3 linked regions of the Schizosaccharomyces pombe genome follow. The protein of the gene in region 1 interacts with the protein of each later gene in a pairwise test. Each region holds a gene or a part of one and is shown in the gene's direction. Other genes may lie near its edges.

Region 1 (10,016 bases):
CAGTTGAGAATACCATTGGATTATCCAATTTACCAAATCTTAATAAGAGTTTATACATGGAATCACTCATACTTTGATGATCTTGTGAATGAACCCGTTGGAGCTTTATTTCATGAATCCCATCAGCAATGTTAATTAAGTCGCCTGACCAGTGAAATCGAGCTGGCGCAAGTCCAAAATAGTAACTATCTGCAGAATTATTTGAAACTGAGCATTTCACAGTTTCTTTATCAACTTTCATGACTTTACCACTTTCTGTTTTCGAACTGAATTGCAATTTGGATGTTATTTCATTACAATCCATCGTTTCAGTAAATGATATAACAAGCTTTTGTTTTCCATTATGATTGTATATTCTCGAGTCATGTTGGGGATTAAAAGAAGTAATTTGTGGTGGGTATCGGACGTAATATTTTTTAGGAATAAGTATTTTAAATCCCCAGGGTGGGAATTCTATATTAGGAATACACCCATAGTAGGACTTTAGATTAGAAGAATATTTGTTTGATTCCTGAAGTATATATTCTTCGAAAGGATAGATTAAATTTTTGAGAGTCAAACCTGAAGCATATGGAGACACAACGGAATTAGAGGAAGAGCATTGATAATCGAGTGTAGTCGTTCTATTTTGATTAGTATAAAGTATCCAAATGTCTCCATTCCAAGCAGTATTATTACGGGCATCAAAATTCTGCAACGTCTCTAAAGCACCGCGGACTATACTCCAAACCCCAACTTCCGTAGGCGTCTTTCCGCTATTAGGAAAATGTACATATTCAGTCCAATTTCTTAGTTTAACTGATTTCCATCCAGATTTTAAGGCCGGGTATTGTTCCCTAATAAAGTTGAATATCTTGAACATTTTTAATTCGGGTTTAGCAAAATCAAAGTGGTCCATTATATTCCAATCATCATTACACCCTTGATATGCCTTTATGACAGGAAGTTCTGGATACTGATCAGATGCCAGTGCATAACAACCATGAACTTTCCATGCTATAGATGAAGGCATCGCTTGGCGACCGTAAAGATAATTGTTTGCTGTATTATCCAGTACATAGAATCCTTGTTCATCACCATAATAAATGGAGGGTGCTCCTGGAAAAAGAAAGTACGTTATCATGGTTCCTAATAGCAAACGTTCTAATCCAAATTCAATTGCTGACCATCTAAAAACATCATGGTTAGTAATCCCTAGCATGTGACGCGGGTCAACTTTATGAGTGTTAGGATTATAAAAGTCTTCATTAACTGCCATAGCATTCCACAAATCTGTAAAATCTACGGGAAGATCATGACCAACTTGCAGATCTCCGTCCATTTGCAGAAATCTGGTCATGGCACGGTAGAGTGAATAGTGAAAAGCAGAAGCATCTAGGGCATTCGCTTTAGGTTCCCTCAGAAAGTAGTTTTCTTTAAGGGATGATGAATTAAGTGAAGTAAGTATCGACGGAGGACGTTGATCTGGTTGACGACCACGACCGTAATAAATTGAGCCATAACTTGAAGAACCAGTTACTTCACCAGGTATAAAAAAATTCTTTTTATTAAACGTTGCTGCACACCCCCTCACAGAATGAGCCCATGAAGCAAGAAAATCAACTGTAATTTGAGTAGCTTTATCAATACGAAAACCATCCACATCTAACATGGCAATGATCATACATGCGAAGTGTTTTAACTTTTCTGAAACCGATGGCCTCCATTCTCTAAGTCTATCTTGGACAGAAGCAAACTTTGAAAGCTGACGTTCCCAATCAGGATGAGTACCAAAGGCTTCTGTATCGCCATACTGATCGAAATCTGAATCATAACAACCAACATAATCAATCACAACAGGCGCGCCATCTTCACCCCAAAATCTGGGAAGCTCACACTTTGGGTCATATTTATTTGTGAAATTCCAGTCTGGATAAATGACGTTGCTTTTCCACACCGCCTCATGTTCAAATAAAGAAAATGGAGTAGTACTGTTCAGATACTTCCGAAACCCTATAAGATCTCCCAACGTAGAAATTGTAAGGTCCAGAACTAAATAAAACCCTCTACGATGGATTTCTTCTATCGTGTCACGCCATTGTGCAATTGTTCCAGAATGGTGATCGAGGATGGTGTAGTCCAGTGGTGAGTACTGATCAGCACCCCATGGCTGATTTAAAAATGGTGTACCGGCGATGTAGATAACCTTATTCGTTAACGAGCATAAAAGCATAACTCTATCTTACCTTTATTCCCATAATCTCCAAATAATCTAGTGAGTCTTTCAGGCCTATTATATCCCCTCCGTTTCGAAAACCAGTTTCATAAATATCATACTCATAAATAGTATTGTTAGCTTCATTATTTCTAGGATCACCATCTTTCCATTTATCCAAAATAACTGTGTAAAATGGCACTTGCCAATCATCTGGACTGGGATGGTATTGATGGTTTTCCCATTTTCCCCAATAATCTAGAGGATCGGTAGCTGATTGATTTTGGTTTAAATTCCATAAAGATTCTCTTTCATCATATTTAGCAGTAAAGACCAACCTTGGTATACTTAATATCAAATTCAAGACGAGAATATTCTTATTTCGCATCGTTTATGGTATTTCCTCAATTGACGTGAAGAAGCTGCCCTGTTCAAAATAGTTTTATTAAAATTAATGCGATCGTTAATGCTATTATATATGAATTTATCAAGATTTTTCCCGATTCAAATGATGGTTGCTTCTAAATACGAGAAGAGTACAATAACCAATAAGTCAACTTTTTGGAATGTAAACAAACAAACGAACCTAAAAAATTTATATTAATTTTTGCTTACACATGCATTTCTATTTTAAAAATAAATTTTAAAAAAATTAAGAAGGAATTTTATTTTATAATTAAATCGCAGTTTGCGCTTTTGTATGCAAACGGTCATTCAGTTAATAAGCTTATACTTAAGAAGAGTTGAAGCGAATTTCGATACAGATAATATTTATTAATTATGTATTAAGGAAAATCAATAATTTTGCTTTCATCGGACTTGGTTTTAGTTCAATTTACCTGTGAACGACTTCACAAGGTTCATTGTAAAGATTACTGGCACATATTCATGTGTAATTTTATTTAAAATCAATCGAGAACATGACTGCGGAAAACCTAAGGAAATAAATTAACTAGCATTGTTGGCGTTAGGGAACCGAGTATCTATAAAACTGAAACCTCCGACAACCATACTCCAAATATCTATTTTACGAGCATTGCCTATTATTTTGAGAATAAGCGCAGTCGTTAAGGCTTTATTTTAATTTATTTCTATTTATTTTTTCTTTGCATTTACATCGTTGATCATCATTCTTTTTCACGTGTTTTAGTCGTTCTTTTCAAAGCTCATTACCTGGTTGAATTTTAGCCTGGTTATTTGAGTATAATTATAACAAACTTTTTTATTTTTTAATGTTTATTGCCTTCCTTTTTTTGTAAATTAATAATGTTCAACGACCAGTCGAAAACAACTTCATCTGTGAAAGGTATATGTGCCACTACTGACAACAATCATGGTAATTTAAAAAAAACTAATTCAACTCCTTTCAGGAAAAACTATTTGCTAAATGGGAGAACTAAATTGAAGCTGGAAAATTTTGCGTACAATGCATCTACAGAAATTAGTTCACCTAAAATCTCTGAAAAAAAGCATTCTTCATTACCAATTAAACGAAAGAATACTTTTAATGAATCCTCAACATCTTTTTCCCCATTTACTAAAGCTCATAAAGAAATTACTGACGATTTAAAGCCTGACAAATCTTTCACGCGGAAATCTGACTTGAATAGCCAAGACATGCCAGGTATGATTTTTCTTGTATTCAGACGTGTATTTTAACTTTTAGAAGTATGTTTTCAAGAAACTTCGAAGGATTTGTGTCGTAGCTCTTCTACTCAACATTTGCTGGATCATCAAACGACGGACTCAACGATTATAGATATGAAACCAGTGTCAACGAACTCAAAATCTGATGTGTTTACATTATATACGGATGAAACTGTCCTATTACGACGATGTGCTTCAGATAATAAGCCACTGATAAACAATAATTTGTCGAGTTCAAATGTTTCGGAAAACCAGAGTAGAAGCTTCGGATCGTATGATGAAGTAAAAAACCAAGGAAATAACCTGCATAAAGTCCCTAGCTTGGTGTCTATAATTCGTAATGCAAGATCATCTGAGCAATCAAGAATTGCTGCAAATTCCAGTTGTCTTCTCAAAGGATCAGATACCGAAATTGACGAGGATGATTTTGCCTTAGAAGCTGAAGATCTGGCAGCATTAGATTCCCTTGAACGCCAATACTCACAATTACCTAATTCTACAGTAACTGCTTCTGCAAAGGACATAGAAAAGACAGCTAAGGTCAACCATGTGGGAGGTGATTTGCAATCTTATTGTTCAGCAACAAAAGCATCTGATGCTACAATAAATGAAGAACCTGTGAACCTTGCTCTTGATAAAGCTTGTAATTCATTGCCGGATATCAATAGCGACTTTATCGATGATTGGGATGATTCGTGTGATGGATGCACTCCTGGTGAATTGTGCGAGTTTTCCTCCGAATACACAGTATTAGAAGTTCACGAAGACTTCATTTTTCATGAAGGGAATCACTTTCGACAATTAAAGTTGATTTTGGAAGCAAATGATATACTGCATCAGTTATTTTTACGCGGTGATTGGACTGAGACTAGTATTTTTGTAGGGGATTCTATCCGTGTTGAAGCTACATTTGACAAAGATAATACCGCTATCGTTGACAACGATAAAGGACTTATTATCATACATCCGAAAATTTTAATGTCTGCTACGGCAGTGGCCAGCTCTTTTCCTTGTTTGAGGAAAGCCGTAATATCTGACAGGGTTGGCATTTATGGACCTCCTACAAAAGCTATGGTAACTGGAAACATTTTACATGATTTTTTTCAACACGCATTATACAGAGGTATTGATGCCCTTGAAAATGTTGATATCAACCTTGAAACATCAATAAAAACATACATCTCTGATATCTATTTTGCTGATTTGTCGCTCGATGAAATTCGAGAGGAACTTGATGCGAGGCTTCCCCTTCTTAAATCTATTGTTGAAAGATATTTAATAAGTAAAAAAAATGACAACAACAATGAAAGTATTCACATTTCAAGGCTTCTCGATATTGAGGAATCCATATGGTCACCCAGATTTGGATTAAAAGGTAATATCGATGCTACAGTTGAGGTGGTTTTAACTGAAAAACCTGAGTCTTCGTCAACCCTCACACTTCCGTTAGAGCTTAAAACTGGCCGATATGTCGACAATATTAGCCATTTTGCTCAAAGTTTGCTTTATACATTACTCATTTCAGATCGTTATGGTATCAATACTAATCAGGCATTATTATGCTATTTGGAAAATAGTACTATCAAGAATTTGGTTGCAAGTAACTCCCAACTTCGAGGGTTGATCATGACAAGAAATTCTCTTGCACAGCATAACTTTAGGCGCAGCCTTCCTGAAATGATTTCGAACCGAAAAATTTGCGATCACTGCAGTTTAGTTTCTGAATGTTTGTTCTTTCAAAAGATGAGTGATAAAGGAGTAGCTAATAGTAACGGCTTGACTGAGTCATGGAATGAATGGATGCGCGAAGTAAAAGATGAGGATCTTGAATTTTATAAGAAGTGGGAGAAGTTATTAAATCAAGAGGAACGACTCTTACTACTAAAAAGAGGCGATGTGTTGACTTTTGATACAGAAGAGCTAGAAGCTTATGGAAAAACTCTGTATCCTTTATACATTACTAAAGAGGATATCGTTTGTTTAGAAATTGATGACAGGGTTTTTCATTACAAATTCGCTTTTTTAAATGACAATGGTTATCCTCGAAATTTCTTGCACTCAGGCTTCAGCGTTGGTGAACGAGTATTTATTTCTGATGAACATGGACACTGGTCACTAGCTAAAGGACACATAGTCCATATTCAAGATTCATGTATTGAAGTACGAACTCGTCATCGACTTCATATTCCATGGCTAAAGATGCCTAACTTTGATTTCAAAAAAAACCAGGTATTTTTTGGTAACTATGAAGATTCCAAATTGTCATTTATCGGAAGTAACCATACGAGGTACAGAATTGATAAGGACGAATTTTCGAGCGGAATTGCATCAATAAGAGGTACCTTGATGTCTTCTGTATTACCAGATGCTCCCTTAATTATAAGGGACATGATTATCCGTTTGAAGCCTCCAAAATTTTGTAATAGTGCATTAATCGATCCTGAATTTTTGAAATGTTTAAACGAAGATCAAATTACAGCTTTAAAGAAATGCCACGCTGCAGAACATTATAGTTTGATACTCGGAATGCCTGGAACGGGGAAAACCACTACAATTTCTAGCTTAATCAGATCATTGCTTGCCAAAAAGAAGAAAATACTTCTTACTTCTTTTACGCATTTAGCAGTTGATAACATTTTAATTAAACTGAAGGGTTGTGATAGCACAATCGTCCGCTTAGGATCTCCTCATAAAATCCATCCCCTAGTAAAAGAATTTTGTTTGACTGAAGGAACGACGTTTGACGACTTAGCGTCATTAAAACATTTTTACGAAGACCCCCAAATAGTTGCATGCTCTTCTCTAGGGGTATATCAGTAAGTAATTGAAAGCGACGGCAATGAACAAACTACTAACAACATTAGTTCCATTTTCAATAAAAGAAAATTCGATTATTGTATAATTGATGAGGCATCCCAAATACCTCTACCAATTTGCTTAGGCCCTTTGCAGCTTGCTGAAAAATTTGTTTTAGTTGGTGATCATTATCAACTTCCTCCTTTAGTAAAAAATTCAAGAACATCTAAGGATGGTTTGTCGCTCAGTCTATTTAAATTACTATCAGAAAAGCATCCTGAAGCCGTTACCACTTTAAGACTACAATATCGTATGAATGAAGACATTAATTCATTATCTAGTGAACTTATTTATGGCGGCAATTTGGTGTGTGGGTCCAAGACGATATCCCAAAAAAAATTAATTTTGCCAAAAGCTCATCTAAGTGATGGTTTACCCGATTCGTCGTCTAGCCTACATTGGGTCAACAAGTTAATCAATCCTAGTCATTCAGTCATATTTTTTAATACCGATGATATTCTGGGAGTTGAATCAAAAACTAATAATATTCTAGAAAATCATACTGAAGCTTTTTTGATAGAACAAGCAGTTTCCTCCTTCTTGGAACGAGGCGTTAAGCAAAGTTCTATCGGGATAATTTCAATTTACAAAAGTCAGGTGGAGTTGCTTTCTAAGAATCTTAAATCATTCACTGAAATAGAAATTAACACTGTCGATCGTTATCAAGGAAGAGACAAGGACATCATTTTAATATCTTTTGTGAGATCCAACAGTAAAAACTTAGTGAGTATTGAACCAATTATTTACACAACTGCTAACCATTTATTTAGGTTGGAGAATTGCTACGCGATTGGCATCGTTTGAACGTTGCTTTAAGCAGGGCGAAAGTGAAATGTATTATGTTTGGCTCGTTATCTACTCTTTCGTCTTCAAATATAGTTTCTCATTTATTGAAATTATTAGAAAAAAACAAATGGATTTTCACGTTAAATGAGAATGATATAGCAACGAAATTTGACGAGAATAGCTCTCCAATTAAGGATTGTTCTCAGGTTGCAACGACAAATAATGCTAAAGTTATTATTAGAAAGAACCAAAGGTTTTTTAATAGTGACAATTTATGTGAAAAAGCTATTTTACCTCAACTGGAATTTTGATAATCTACTTCAAAAAACTCAATATTTTACTGGATACGATCTTCATAATGAAGAATGTATATATAAATGCCTAAAATAAAATTCATCTGATCCTTGTTCATGAATATAAGTATTAATCCCTCCATGATATATAAACATCGTCAGTACGATATCTTTGAGTAATCGTCGATTCTGCGACGGCACATCGGTCCCCGGTTTTATAAGCCAACAACCCTGCTTGGGCTATCATTATACCATTATCAATACAGAAACGTTCATCTGTAGAAAAAACATCAGCGCCTCTATCCGAACTCATTTCAGCCATCATTTGTTGGAGACGTTCATTGCATCCAACACCTCCAACAATTAAAACAGAATCAGCTCTGATATGTGCCATCGCGCGTTCTGTAATTTCAACTAGCATTGCAAAGCCAGTTTCCTGTAAAGAGTAACAAAGATCTTGCTTTGTAACAGAACTCGGATTTTTTGGGTCTAATAGCTCTGTAGCTGCCGCTTCAACCCCTGACAACAATCCGGAAAATGAACAATCCATACCTTTAACAGTATAGGGTAACTCTATAAATCTTTTGCCTCTAGGAAAAAATTAGTATAAAACATCAAAGTGAGTCTTACTTTTTTGCTTCTTGCATAATATTGTAACCAGGTGAAGGTGCATTGGACAAACCAATGATTCTGGCAAATCGATCCAAACAATTGCCTATAGCAATATCAAGCGTTTCACCAAAAATCCTATACTTCTTCTCTGAGTATGCAATTACTTGAGTGTTTCCCCCAGAAACATAAAGCACGACAGGATTTTGTGCACCCGTAATTTCACGACCCATTTCAATGTGACCAATACAATGATTAACTGCTACTAAAGGTTTCTTGTGAATTAGTGATAACATCCTAGCACAAAGAGCTACACTATTCAGAGGAGCACCGATTCCTGGCCCCTTTGTGAAACAAATGCAATCAATATCTTTAAAAGAAATTTTTGCCTCAGCAAACGCTTGCTTAATTAAAGGGATTATCCACGCACGATGATGCTTAGCAGTATCGCTGGGCAAGAATCCCTGTCCGGGAGGAGTGATATAAGTGTGTCTGACATTTGCTAATATTTTAGCCGATCCATTGGTATCATGCAAAATAATACCAACGCCTAATTTGTTTGCTGAACCCTCTAATCCAAGTGCAATTAAAGGTTTTCCCATAATTATTAACGTGAATAAATATACGGTTCCTCACTGGTCAACATATGCCGTTCTTTTATGTATCAGTAAGTTAAAAAGTTGCGAGCAAGCTCAAACAAACCAACTAAAGTTATTTCTGATAGAAAATACCCAAAAATAAGAAACTGAATATTTTTCGATATATTATAATCTATATATTGTAGTCCAAGAAAAGTGTGTGTACTAGATAAATTCGCTTACACCATTTATTAATCCATTTGCTTACACCTTAGAAAAATCGGATATTTTTACCTCTTAGTTTTGATCTACAAATATTTATAAACTCTACGTAAGCATGAAAATATAAATTGTGTACGACTTTGTTCGATTTTATTTTATTTTTTCTAATACCATATGAGTTGCTTTTCGGTTTAAAATTTTTTTACTCCCTATTGCGAAATAAATAATTCTTAAATACTAATCTGCTTTCATAAACAAGCCATAGCATATAAATATAAATATATATATATATTTTTCTAATGGTAAATTGGACACGAAATACCAAAAATTTTTTTATATAGTTTTAGACATGCTATTTCAATAGTGCTTTGGAAAATTGCTGCTTCATGACTATACGAAAAATAAATGTAGTATATTACAAGTAACAATTAAAAACCCAAATTTATTTAACAATCTCGTATTCTTTAAACCAAAAAAGTTGCTAAAATTAAAAAACCAGAGGAGAGGAAAAGGGAAACGGATAACAGGACATCAAATTTATTCTCTTTTTATTTCCTTGCCTCAACAAATCCATTGCTAATTTATTCTAAGACAGGAGAAAATTTGGTACTTGCGGATGCACGCCCTGCGCTGCTAAAGTACTGTTATATTCACATTAGTAATTTGTTGAGCCGTCTGAACTAGCTTACCTTTTCTCGAAAATTGTGGTGCGAGGGTGTCTTATTATTTATTTTAGGGAGTAAATTTAAACTTTTTGAATCGTGAGCTCTAGGGAGTCTCTGAAACGTCAACAATCGACGTGACCCTAATAGGTTAATAAAATGTATGGTT
Region 2 (5,890 bases), on another chromosome or scaffold:
TAAGTAAATAGGTATTCACAAATGTAAGACAAGCAAGACTGGCAGGATTTACGAGATTACTAAGAAATGCCTGAATGACTAATTTCATAATAGAATTAAACTAGCGACATAATAGTTTCACAAGCAAACTTAGGTATGCAAAACAAAAGGTAATTCATTTATAATATTTAATTAGAAGAACGTGAGTATTATTTTCTATAATATGTTAAATTTTTACTATAATAATGTACCAGTAAACGACACTGAATTTTTTCTTTAAAAGAAATATACTGACATCCCAATCTATTCTTCCTTGCCAATTATGTCAACCCAACGTTTGCCCTTAAGCTCGGCAAGAATCTCTTGCTTAATCTTGTGAGCAATTACAGGACCATCATATCCCAAAGCAGTATAAACTTGAACCATAGTTGCACCAGCACGAGCATACTCAATAGCATCTTTGCCAGAAGAAATACCACCACAGCCGATGATGGGAATATCGGAAGAAAGATGCTTACGAAGTGTGCGAAGAGTATTTAATGCGATAGGTTTGAGAGGAGGTCCAGAAAGACCACCCGTCTCTTCAACATGGCTAGTTGATTTGAGGGTCTTAGGGCGTTGAACGGTAGTATTACCAACGATCACACCGTCAATCTTGCACTTTTTGAGGACATCGGCAATGTCCGTGAGTTCTTCTTCGTTCAAATCAGGTGCAATTTTTACAAGTACGGGAGGATGAGGAGAGTTCAATTTATTGCGCTCACTGACAACAGCAGTCAATAAAGTTGAGAGGGCAGATTTCTTTTGTAGGTTACGAAGACCAGGGGTATTAGGAGAGGAAACGTTAATGACAAGAATGTCAGCGAAGTTACCAAAGGTACGAACACCTTCAACATAATCCTCAATCTCGTTACCGTTCTTATTCTTGCCTAAATTGATACCAAGGAACTTGTTAGGAATTAAACTACGAGGTACGCCAAGGACAGCGGGATCAGTGCAAGAAGCGGGATTTGCATCAAACTGTTTTAATAGTTGAGGAGATGTCTTAGCAATGTATTTGCGAACGCGCTTTTGAATCTTAGCAAGGATGGCATCATGGCCGATAGAATTAAAACCGTAACGATTGATTACAGACAAATCAGGCTTAAGGCGGAAATAGCGTGGTTTAGGATTACCAGGTTGAGGTTTAGGTGTGACCGAGCCAATTTCAAGATAGGAAAACCCGAAGTTCAACAAACCTGAGATAGCATCGGCTTGTTTATCGAAACCAGCAGCTAGACCAATGGGATTGCAAAATTTCTTACCCCAAACTTCAACGGCAAGAGATGGATCATCAGCTACACGATCCTTCGGTGTTATACCCCAAGAGGCAGCGAGAATGGCGACACGATGAGAAAACTCAGGAGTGGTGAAAGCATGAAAGAGAGGCATTTCAATGCGGCCATGGATAAAACTACGAACATCGGACATGTCGTAAATGGCAACGCCGGCAGTAAAACTACCAATAACACTCAAAAGCTTCCAATGACGGAGAAAGAAATTGCCATTTGAAGAGCCAGAGCTGGTAGATTGAAAACGTACAGAGGAGCGCTTTAAACCCTGAGCGACACCGCGAAACAAAGATCGTTGATACATTTTAGTATTTTTAATAGAATTCGGCTTAAATAAAAAATTTTCAAAACGAAATTGAAAAAAATATGAATGATAAAATAATAAAATGAAGTTTTATAATAGTTTATGCTTAATATATTTAAACACCAGTTTTTTTCCAAACACAACAAACCCAAGAAAAAATAAACAGAACCAAAAAATAAAAATATGGATTTAAGGATCAGAACAGAATCGTCAATCCGTTTCTTTATCCACCTAGAGACAAGAAGTGTTAATTTATATAAAATGGAGAACTTGGTTCTAATAAGATTTCAACGAAAACAAAGATTTCAGAACCGAAAAAATTTCTCCAAGTGCTAGCAGAGGTATATTCTCTGAGAAAGAACAAAAATCAAAAATTGAATGTTTATATTGAATGTTACCTGTAACAGGTAACATGTTTTTTTAGTAATGCCGGGCTGTCGAAATTTGACTATGAGTTTTGTAAATAAAGCGATGGTTATAAACAATTTTATGATAGTTTTTGCTTTCGAATTAACATTTCATAAAAAATTTGAAAAAGAAAAATTTTAAAAATTTAAGGACAAAATCCACTTGAAAAACAAGTGCGAACAGCTTTTTGCAAAAAAACTACAAACCACTACACATTAGCGAATAAGCCTATTAGGAATTTATTTTAATTTTTGTTGATTTAAATTTCTTTTTTTTTTAAATGGTTAGAATCTAGTTGATAAACTTCTAGCAATGTATTTCCAAATTGTTTCTATTACGTTCGTTGATACAGGCAATTGTTCATTTCTGGTATGACTAAAGCATTTCTATACAATTCAACTTCTCATTTTTTCTAGCTGTATTTATGATGTACAGAGCGTTGGGAGAGAGTTGATTAAGTCAATAGTATTTATGAATGAGACAAGGAACACTCATACTATATCAATGATAAATAGCTTTTATATTATCCTGTTATAATCATAAAAATTAATTTCATCTATATAGACTTAGAAAAAAATGGTTTCGTTTTCACTGTCCTTAAACTACAAATATCGTACACGTGTTACTTGTTCTTCAGGTGTACCCTCACTATTGTCAAATCTTATGAAATTCTTTACTCGTTGACTTGATTGTTATGCGAACAGTATTTTCGCAAATTCCTCGTTTTAAACAAGTCAATCAGTACATACGGATGTCGACAAGGCAGTCAGACATTAGGTTTGTTAGATAGAAGACAGACGTTGACTAACCCATATAGCAACTTCTTCATTTCTTCTGCTTCGCACAAAAGCGAGCACGTGGAGGTTTCTCAATCGTCTTCTGATTCCAAAAATGTTGATGGGAGAAGCACAAGCGAAAAGAGAAAGGTCGAATCAGTGAAATTAGTCGACGAGTCGAAACACAACAACCACGACGACACTGGAACTCAAAATGTTGAGCGTGAAAATAATATTGTGTCTGAGGCAAAAAAGCAAAAGACTTTAGGTTCATCCTCCTCTTCTTCAGATGCCGTATCTAGTAACAACGATTCTGGGGCATCTACTCCAATACCTTTGCCAATCAAAGAACCACCGTTAGAGTCCAATGCTCGCAATGATAAGTTAAAAGGTCATGCAACATTTGCTGAAATGGTAAAAGCATTCACAAAAATAGAGAATACTAGCAAACGGTTGGAAATCATTGATATAATGGGGACTTACTTTTTTGGAATTCTTCGCGACCATCCCAGCGATTTACTGGCCTGTGTGTATTTAAGTATCAATAAGGTATGAACGTTTGGTTTTAAAGGATTTCTCCTTCTCAGTACTAACGTCTTTTTTTACATTAGTTGGGCCCAGATTACTCGGGACTAGAGCTAGGAATTGGCGAAAGCATTATAATGAAGGCTATTGGAGAGTCTACAGGGCAAACGCTTCAACAGATTAAACTATCGTTTCACAAAGTTGGTGATCTTGGTCTTGTAGCTCAAACATCCCGTCAAAATCAACCCACTATGTTTAAACCTGCAGCGCTGACAATTCCATTTTTATTTGACTCATTAAAAAAAATTGCTCAAATGAGCGGAAACCAATCCCAAAATAGAAAAATTGGAGTGATCAAGCGGCTATTGAGTTCCTGTGAAGGTGCAGAACCTAAATATTTGATTCGAGCTTTGGAAGGCAAGCTACGCCTCCAACTTGCCGAAAAAACCATTTTAGTAGCATTAGCAAATGCCACCGCTCAATATCATGCTGATAAGAATGGAGAAAAACTTTCGCAACAAGACAGGATTGAAGGAGAGCAGATTCTTCGAGATGTTTACTGTCAACTGCCTTCATACGACCTTATCGTTCCTCACTTGATTGAGCATGGACTTGGTACTTTGCGTGAAACTTGTAAATTAACACCTGGAATCCCAACAAAACCCATGCTGGCTAAGCCGACGAAACAAATTTCAGAAGTTTTGAATACGTTTGATCAAGCCGCATTTACATGTGAATACAAATACGATGGCGAGCGCGCCCAAGTTCATTTTACCGAAGATGGGAAGTTTTATGTATTTTCTAGGAATTCTGAAAACATGTCTGTTCGCTATCCGGACATCTCTGTTTCTGTATCGAAGTGGAAAAAACCAGATGCTCGTTCTTTTATTCTCGATTGCGAAGCTGTCGGTTGGGACCGTGATGAAAACAAAATTTTACCTTTTCAAAAACTTGCAACAAGAAAGAGGAAAGATGTGAAAATTGGGGACATTAAGGTCCGAGCATGCCTTTTCGCTTTTGACATTTTATACCTAAATGGGCAACCTCTTTTGGAAACCCCACTCAACGAGCGTCGAAAACTACTTTACTCAATGTTTCAACCAAGTACTGGAGACTTTACTTTTGCTAAACATAGCGATCAAAAGTCTATTGAATCCATTGAAGAATTCCTTGAAGAATCTGTCAAAGATTCTTGTGAGGGTTTAATGGTCAAAATGCTTGAAGGCCCGGATTCTCATTATGAACCGTCAAAACGTTCCAGGCATTGGCTAAAAGTTAAAAAAGACTATCTTTCTGGTGTTGGAGATTCTCTGGATTTGATTGTAATTGGCGCATACTACGGAAAGGGTAAACGTACTTCTGTTTATGGTGCCTTTCTTTTGGGCTGCTACGATCCAGATACCGAAACAGTTCAATCGATTTGCAAACTCGGGACTGGTTTTTCAGAGGAGCATTTAGAAACTTTTTACAATCAACTTAAAGACATTGTTATATCTAAAAAGAAAGATTTTTATGCTCATAGCGATGTACCTGCGCATCAGCCTGACGTCTGGTTTGAGCCTAAGTACTTGTGGGAAGTCTTAGCTGCCGATTTATCTTTGTCTCCGGTTTACAAAGCTGCAATTGGATATGTTCAAGAGGACAAAGGAATCAGTTTACGTTTTCCAAGATTCATTCGTATTCGGGAAGACAAGAGCTGGGAGGATGCTACAACAAGTGAACAGGTTTCAGAATTCTATCGTTCGCAGGTGGCTTACAGTCAAAAGGAAAAAGAAGGGTCCCCAGCTGCCGAAGATTATTAAGTTTGTAGCTGAGAGTTACTGCTGAGAGCTACTGTCATAATAAAGGGTAATGTTCGGCTAAAATTTGCCCAAAGAGGCTAATATGAATTATGTTAAAGAGACAGACAAATTGAGTTTATGCTCTAGCTGATGGCTATTTCTCTAGCTTACTACTATTTATTTTTTTCTAATTGTAATCCCCTGTGGCTAAAAAAAAATTAATAATAAACAACATTGAATTTCCAAATTATAACATTAGATTGAAAATTTGAATCTTATTTATCCCTTTTTATTATCCTTTTTATATGATTTTATACATTGTATTACCATTTTACGTTCGTACCAAGCCTTACTCTATTTTGCCGTCATATTCCTCCTTACAGTGGATTACGAATGCTTGGTGTTCATTACCGTCCATATACATTTTATGTCACTGTAGCAAACACCAAGAAGAAATTACAATATTGGCTTTAAAGCCATTAATTGCTATGAATAATTCAGAAGAATGGCCATTGAAACATGTGCAACCGCCCAAATTGTCATTTCGTCATTTGCTATCGAGATCTGTGACAGATGCTCCTTCATTGCGGGTACGTTGGTTCTATGCGGTAGATAGACCGCTTAGGAAATCAAGAACGGGACCGACGGAAATTAAAAAAGCAAAAAATTTTTTACCTTTTTCAGCTGAAGACTCGGAGCACATCGAAAAAAGTTATTTAAAGGCTGTAGAAAATGACGGTCAATCTGAACCGGTCAATGTGAATGAGGATTATTTGTATTCGGTGA
Region 3 (4,436 bases), on another chromosome or scaffold:
AGATTGGAATTTGCTTTTCGGGAATTCTGGGACTTGCTTACTCTCCGTAACCTCATTTCTTTTCTCCTGTCTCTTGCATTTCACACACCAATCCAAACAAGTTCAGCGTGAGGACTGCTTTAACATCCGTGATCGAGCCTAGACGGTTGTCCCAATGTTTAACAAGGAGCTCGATGTACTTTTTTATTTGGTCCGTTGACTTTCCGCAAACATGCAGTGAGAGAATACGGAAGTGAAGAGAATTTCGGTAATGTATCGCACGCACATATAGGAACAAGAACAATTCATATCCATCTATGTCTCTTCCGGTTTATCTGAATGATTTGTTGCTTTCTATTAATTCGTTAACCAAGCAACCACGAGGCCCCATCATTCTGCCAAATTGACTTTCACAATCATTGCACAACTATTGCTTCAAGCTCCCTACAAGGTATCCAGTGAGTATCAATATTTTAGCAGCATCGATTTGTTACTTACTGTTTGGAAAAAAATCGGGGCAGATGAGCACAAACAAAAAGCAACAAAACTCTGAAATTTTTATATAAAACATGGATTCTCAAACTCCGATCCCACAAAATCCCTCTACTGCTTTAGTTTAACCTCAGGGGAAGCGGAAACCGACAACTGTCCGCAGAACCGTTATTGGCTCGTTTGTTCCAAACTCTAGCAGTGCGAAAGTGAAATTTTTACAGTATGCAGGCAGGTCCTTCTTGCAAGACACTATAAAGTAAAAGTTTTTTAAACAATTCGACATTCCGGCGAATGTGAAAATGTAACTGTGTGAAATGTTGACTATACAAGTGCATTAAGCAAAAGATCTCATCGTAATTTTCGATCTTCAATTTATCAAACTTTCAACCGTTTTTAAACCGTATGACCTTTTAATACGTAAACAGTTTCTCATTTTTTTTATGTTTTACTGCATTAATCACACACAATAAGATTTTATTTCCATTTCATTCAAGTTGCCAAGTTATTTCTATTTAGTATATTAACAACTAAAACACAACTGGCTGGCTATGCAAGTAATTATTATTCTCTAACATAGAGATTCTTATTTTTTTTGGTACACAAGTTTATGAGTCGTTAAAACCTTTTTAAATCGTGCAACATTGATTCATCTCAGTATACTCGATTATCCCTGTGTTCGATATCCCGCAGCTGTAGCCGATACTGAATGTTAACAGTCCACAGTCTATTTATAGCTAGCTCTCTGATATCGGACAACAGGCAATACCGCTTCATTGACCTCTCGTGACAAGCGGCTTTTTTATAAAGGATGTATTGATATCTTTGAAGAAGAAGAAAATCGGCAAGTTTTTCATTTTACTTTAAACATTTGAATTTGGTTTTGCTATTCTTGCTTTTCCTTCTACAATACTTTTCCATATGGGGTAATAGTGTGACCGATCAACATTGCGTTATTTAATATTCAGATTTCAACGGAATAAAATAAAACCTCAATTTAAATTAATGTAGTTTTGATATACATCTTTAATAAGTAATATAGTAAGATACAGAAATCACCTTAACCATTTCTAGGGCACTATGTTGGCCTACCTTTCCTCCTATTAATTAACATAATGTTATTAATTTACAATCATCAAATAAATCGAAAACCCACTTTTTATGCTATAGGAAAGGGTTTGTAGTTCATTTACTTCGTTGGGGAATTTGCTTCTTTTACTTTTGTGTGATAAAACTCGATAGACTAAATATATGGATTCATCATGATTGTTCAAGGTTGAGAAAAATGTTAATTGTATGAAACGAAATAAACCCACATGATGTTTGTTCATCCTCAATTAGTAAACATTCACCTTTATTGAGCTTCTTTCTCTTTTCGTCAAGTTTACCTCTTTGTTTACATTTAAAAAAAGATGTTCTTCAAACACTTTATTGTTGTAGGTAACAACAGCTAGTCATGTTAGGAACCACGACTTTCTCATATACAACGTATTCTTACTTGTTGATCTGCTGCATCCAACTCCTTTGCTTATTCGAACCTTCTAAACCTGGTTCCATTCCATGAAATTGATTCCCCTTAACCTTGCATAGCACACCTTTGAAGTTCCTTACTCTTTACATATGCTGCTTGTGTAAATTAGTCAATAACATTTAAAGAACTGATTTTATTGAAAAAACAACAAAAGCGTTATTATATTTATTCCTCTTTTTTTTAAACAGGTGTTTTGGGGCCGTTCATAGGTTTTTTGGGAAATCATATAAATATATATATATATATATATATATTTTTTTCCGCACATTTACTTGCAATACTCGCTCGTTTTAGTAATTGCATGAATCGTAGACAACTCTTCACTCTCCATTGTTGTGAAATTTTTCGTGGAGCATCTCGATTTAATATCCTGACTACTCCTTTGGTAAGTGTTTAACTTACCTAACTGTATATATTTACAAAATAATCATGGTTGAAGTCAGACATTCAATTCCTTGTGAAGAAACTAAACGCTTGGAGCTTAGTTTAAGTCAGCAAACGTATAGTCAACAGTACGCCAGCATCTATTTCGCCCGACTTACCGCTCTTCGACCCAGAATCACAGAAGCCGCTTCAAAAAAATGGCCGGATAAACAGCGATTGGAACGCGTTTTAGATGTTAAGTCAGATGAAGACTGTTGGGTTGTCGCTACCGCTTATATGACTACAGCTCTTAAGCCAAACGTTATGAACGATGTCACACAACTTCATACAATTGTCACCACTACTGAAGAATCTCCGTATGTTAGCCCAGAAGATGCTGCTTCAGGTGATATAGAATATGCTCTTGAGGATGACTATGGCCGTATAGATTGTAGCGGAAGCTTTTTGTATGACGCTGGCGTTGTTACAGGAGTTGTTCTTGCAGTTTTGGGCCATGAAGATGAACAAGGTCGTTTCGTTGTCGTTGACGTTTGTTTTCCAGGCATCTTCTCTCATTCCATTCCAATGACTACAGATGAATCGCAAGCTCAACCAGAGTACATTGCGGCAGTCAGTGGCTTAGGTCTCTCAAATGACGGCATAGAAGGCATTCAAGTTCATCAGCTTGTAGATTTCCTAAGAGGAACACTTCCACATGTCTCTTCCTTTTCCCCTTCCTCCATCAAAAGGCTAATTATTCTCGGAAATTGCTTAGCACCTTCTATAGAAATTGCCGACTCCGCTTCTGCGTCCGTGCCCATTGGCAAGAAAAAAGTAAAAAGATATGGCTATGACACGTCTGCTTACAATCCAAATCCCACCTTCCAACTAGATAATTTTCTTGATCAAGTGTGTTCCAGCATAGATGTCACTTTAATGCCTGGTCCTTATGATTACAGTTCAACTATCCTTCCTCAACAGCCTTTGCATCCCGCTTTACTTACTAAATCAAAAGTTTGGTTGGGATCTTCTTTACAAACAGTTACGAATCCCACTTGGCTTTCTCTTGGCAATCATTTTGTGTTGGCTACTAGCGGCCAAAACATTAATGATCTCCGAAAATATCATCCCAAAAAATCTTCACTTCAATGCATGGAAAACACTTTACTATGGAATCATATCACACCTACCAGCCCTGATACCTTATGTAAGTAATCTGTACATTTTTCAAACGATATATTTGCTAATGATTTTAGGGTGCTATCCTTTCACCGACAAAGATACATTTGTAATGGAGGAAATGCCTGATCTATATCTTTGTGGTAATCAACCGAAATTTGGCTGCAAAACAGTCATTAATGAGGGAAACAGAATACAATTGGTTTCCGTTCCCGAATTTCGTAAGACTGGTGTACTTGTTCTCATAAATATGCATACGCTCAACGTAGAAATTATTCAATTCCGCCCCATGTCAGTCAAAGCAGAGACTCCAATTACTTCTTAATGCAAAATATCTTGAATATTTAATCATGTATTTATTAAATAAATAAGTTTTTTCTTACTGTTGTCATCATAATTATCTGATCTACACGTCTCATTGAGTTCTTTTGTCAAACAAATGAGAATTATTACCACTGTGGAACGTGAACTCCGTAGGTTCAAAAACGTTAGTTGCATTCTGTAGGGAGCGCTGGTTTTTAGGAATTCCTAATTGGTCTAATAACTCAGTCGACTTGGTTGGCATTATAGGTTGTAGGAGAATTCCGCTAATGCGTAGGCTGTGAGCTACTAACATTAAAGTGTCAATCTTTTCTTGAGAATCATCTGATAATTTCCAAGGTTCTTTCAATTGAAAAAGCTTAGTGACTCTTCTTAAAACAGACTGAACAAGATTAATAACCTCGTAAACACACCCACCATCTATGCTTTGCGCGCAAACAACAGGAAGTTCTATAAGTTCGTGTACAATATCTTCGTATTCTGTAAAATCATCCTTTTTATGCCATTGCTTCTGTATTTCATTGGAAATGAACAGTTTCTTCGATTGCAATCGAGAAAGTAGCACACCTAAAGA

The links. The genes of interacting proteins can lie anywhere in the genome.
Region 2: the proteins of dna2 (region 1) and cdc17 interact in a two-hybrid assay, tested with the Schizosaccharomyces pombe proteins (one study listed by BioGRID).
Region 3: the proteins of dna2 (region 1) and cdc1 interact in a two-hybrid assay, tested with the Schizosaccharomyces pombe proteins (one study listed by BioGRID).

The regions. Positions count from the first base shown.
Region 1 is NC_003423.3:3,590,137-3,600,152, reverse strand, and holds dna2 (DNA replication endonuclease-helicase Dna2), read left to right. Parts: upstream 1-3,196; 5' UTR 3,197-3,460; coding exon 3,461-3,818; exon of another isoform or gene 3,819-3,863; coding exon 3,864-6,657; intron 6,658-6,705; coding exon 6,706-7,420; exon of another isoform or gene 7,421-7,442; intron 7,443-7,467; coding exon 7,468-7,794; 3' UTR 7,795-7,862; downstream 7,863-10,016. Other genes in the region: cell wall alpha-1,3-glucan synthase Mok13, read right to left, coding at 1-2,185, 2,226-2,582; kae1 (EKC/KEOPS complex N(6)-L-threonylcarbamoyladenine synthase subunit), read right to left, coding at 7,907-8,366, 8,407-8,987; tRNA (guanine-N2-)-methyltransferase catalytic subunit Trm11, read right to left, coding at 9,767-9,826, 9,875-9,990. UniProt on the Schizosaccharomyces pombe protein: Key enzyme involved in DNA replication and DNA repair.
Region 2 is NC_003424.3:1,385,228-1,391,117, forward strand, and holds cdc17 (ATP-dependent DNA replication ligase Cdc17), read left to right. Parts: upstream 1-2,657; 5' UTR 2,658-2,716; coding exon 2,717-2,799; exon of another isoform or gene 2,800-2,839; coding exon 2,840-3,347; exon of another isoform or gene 3,348-3,409; coding exon 3,410-5,125; 3' UTR 5,126-5,390; downstream 5,391-5,890. Other genes in the region: mitochondrial dihydroorotate dehydrogenase Ura3, read right to left, coding at 283-1,614; SPOM_SPAC20G8.02 (DDHD family phospholipase), read left to right, coding at 5,410-5,890. UniProt on the Schizosaccharomyces pombe protein: DNA ligase that seals nicks in double-stranded DNA during DNA replication, DNA recombination and DNA repair.
Region 3 is NC_003424.3:4,012,622-4,017,057, forward strand, and holds cdc1 (DNA polymerase delta small subunit Cdc1), read left to right. Parts: upstream 1-2,428; coding exon 2,429-3,569; exon of another isoform or gene 3,570-3,618; coding exon 3,619-3,866; 3' UTR 3,867-3,936; downstream 3,937-4,436. Other genes in the region: SPOM_SPAC27E2.14 (uncharacterized protein), read right to left, coding at 42-56; msm1 (methionine--tRNA (Met) ligase), read right to left, coding at 3,957-4,436.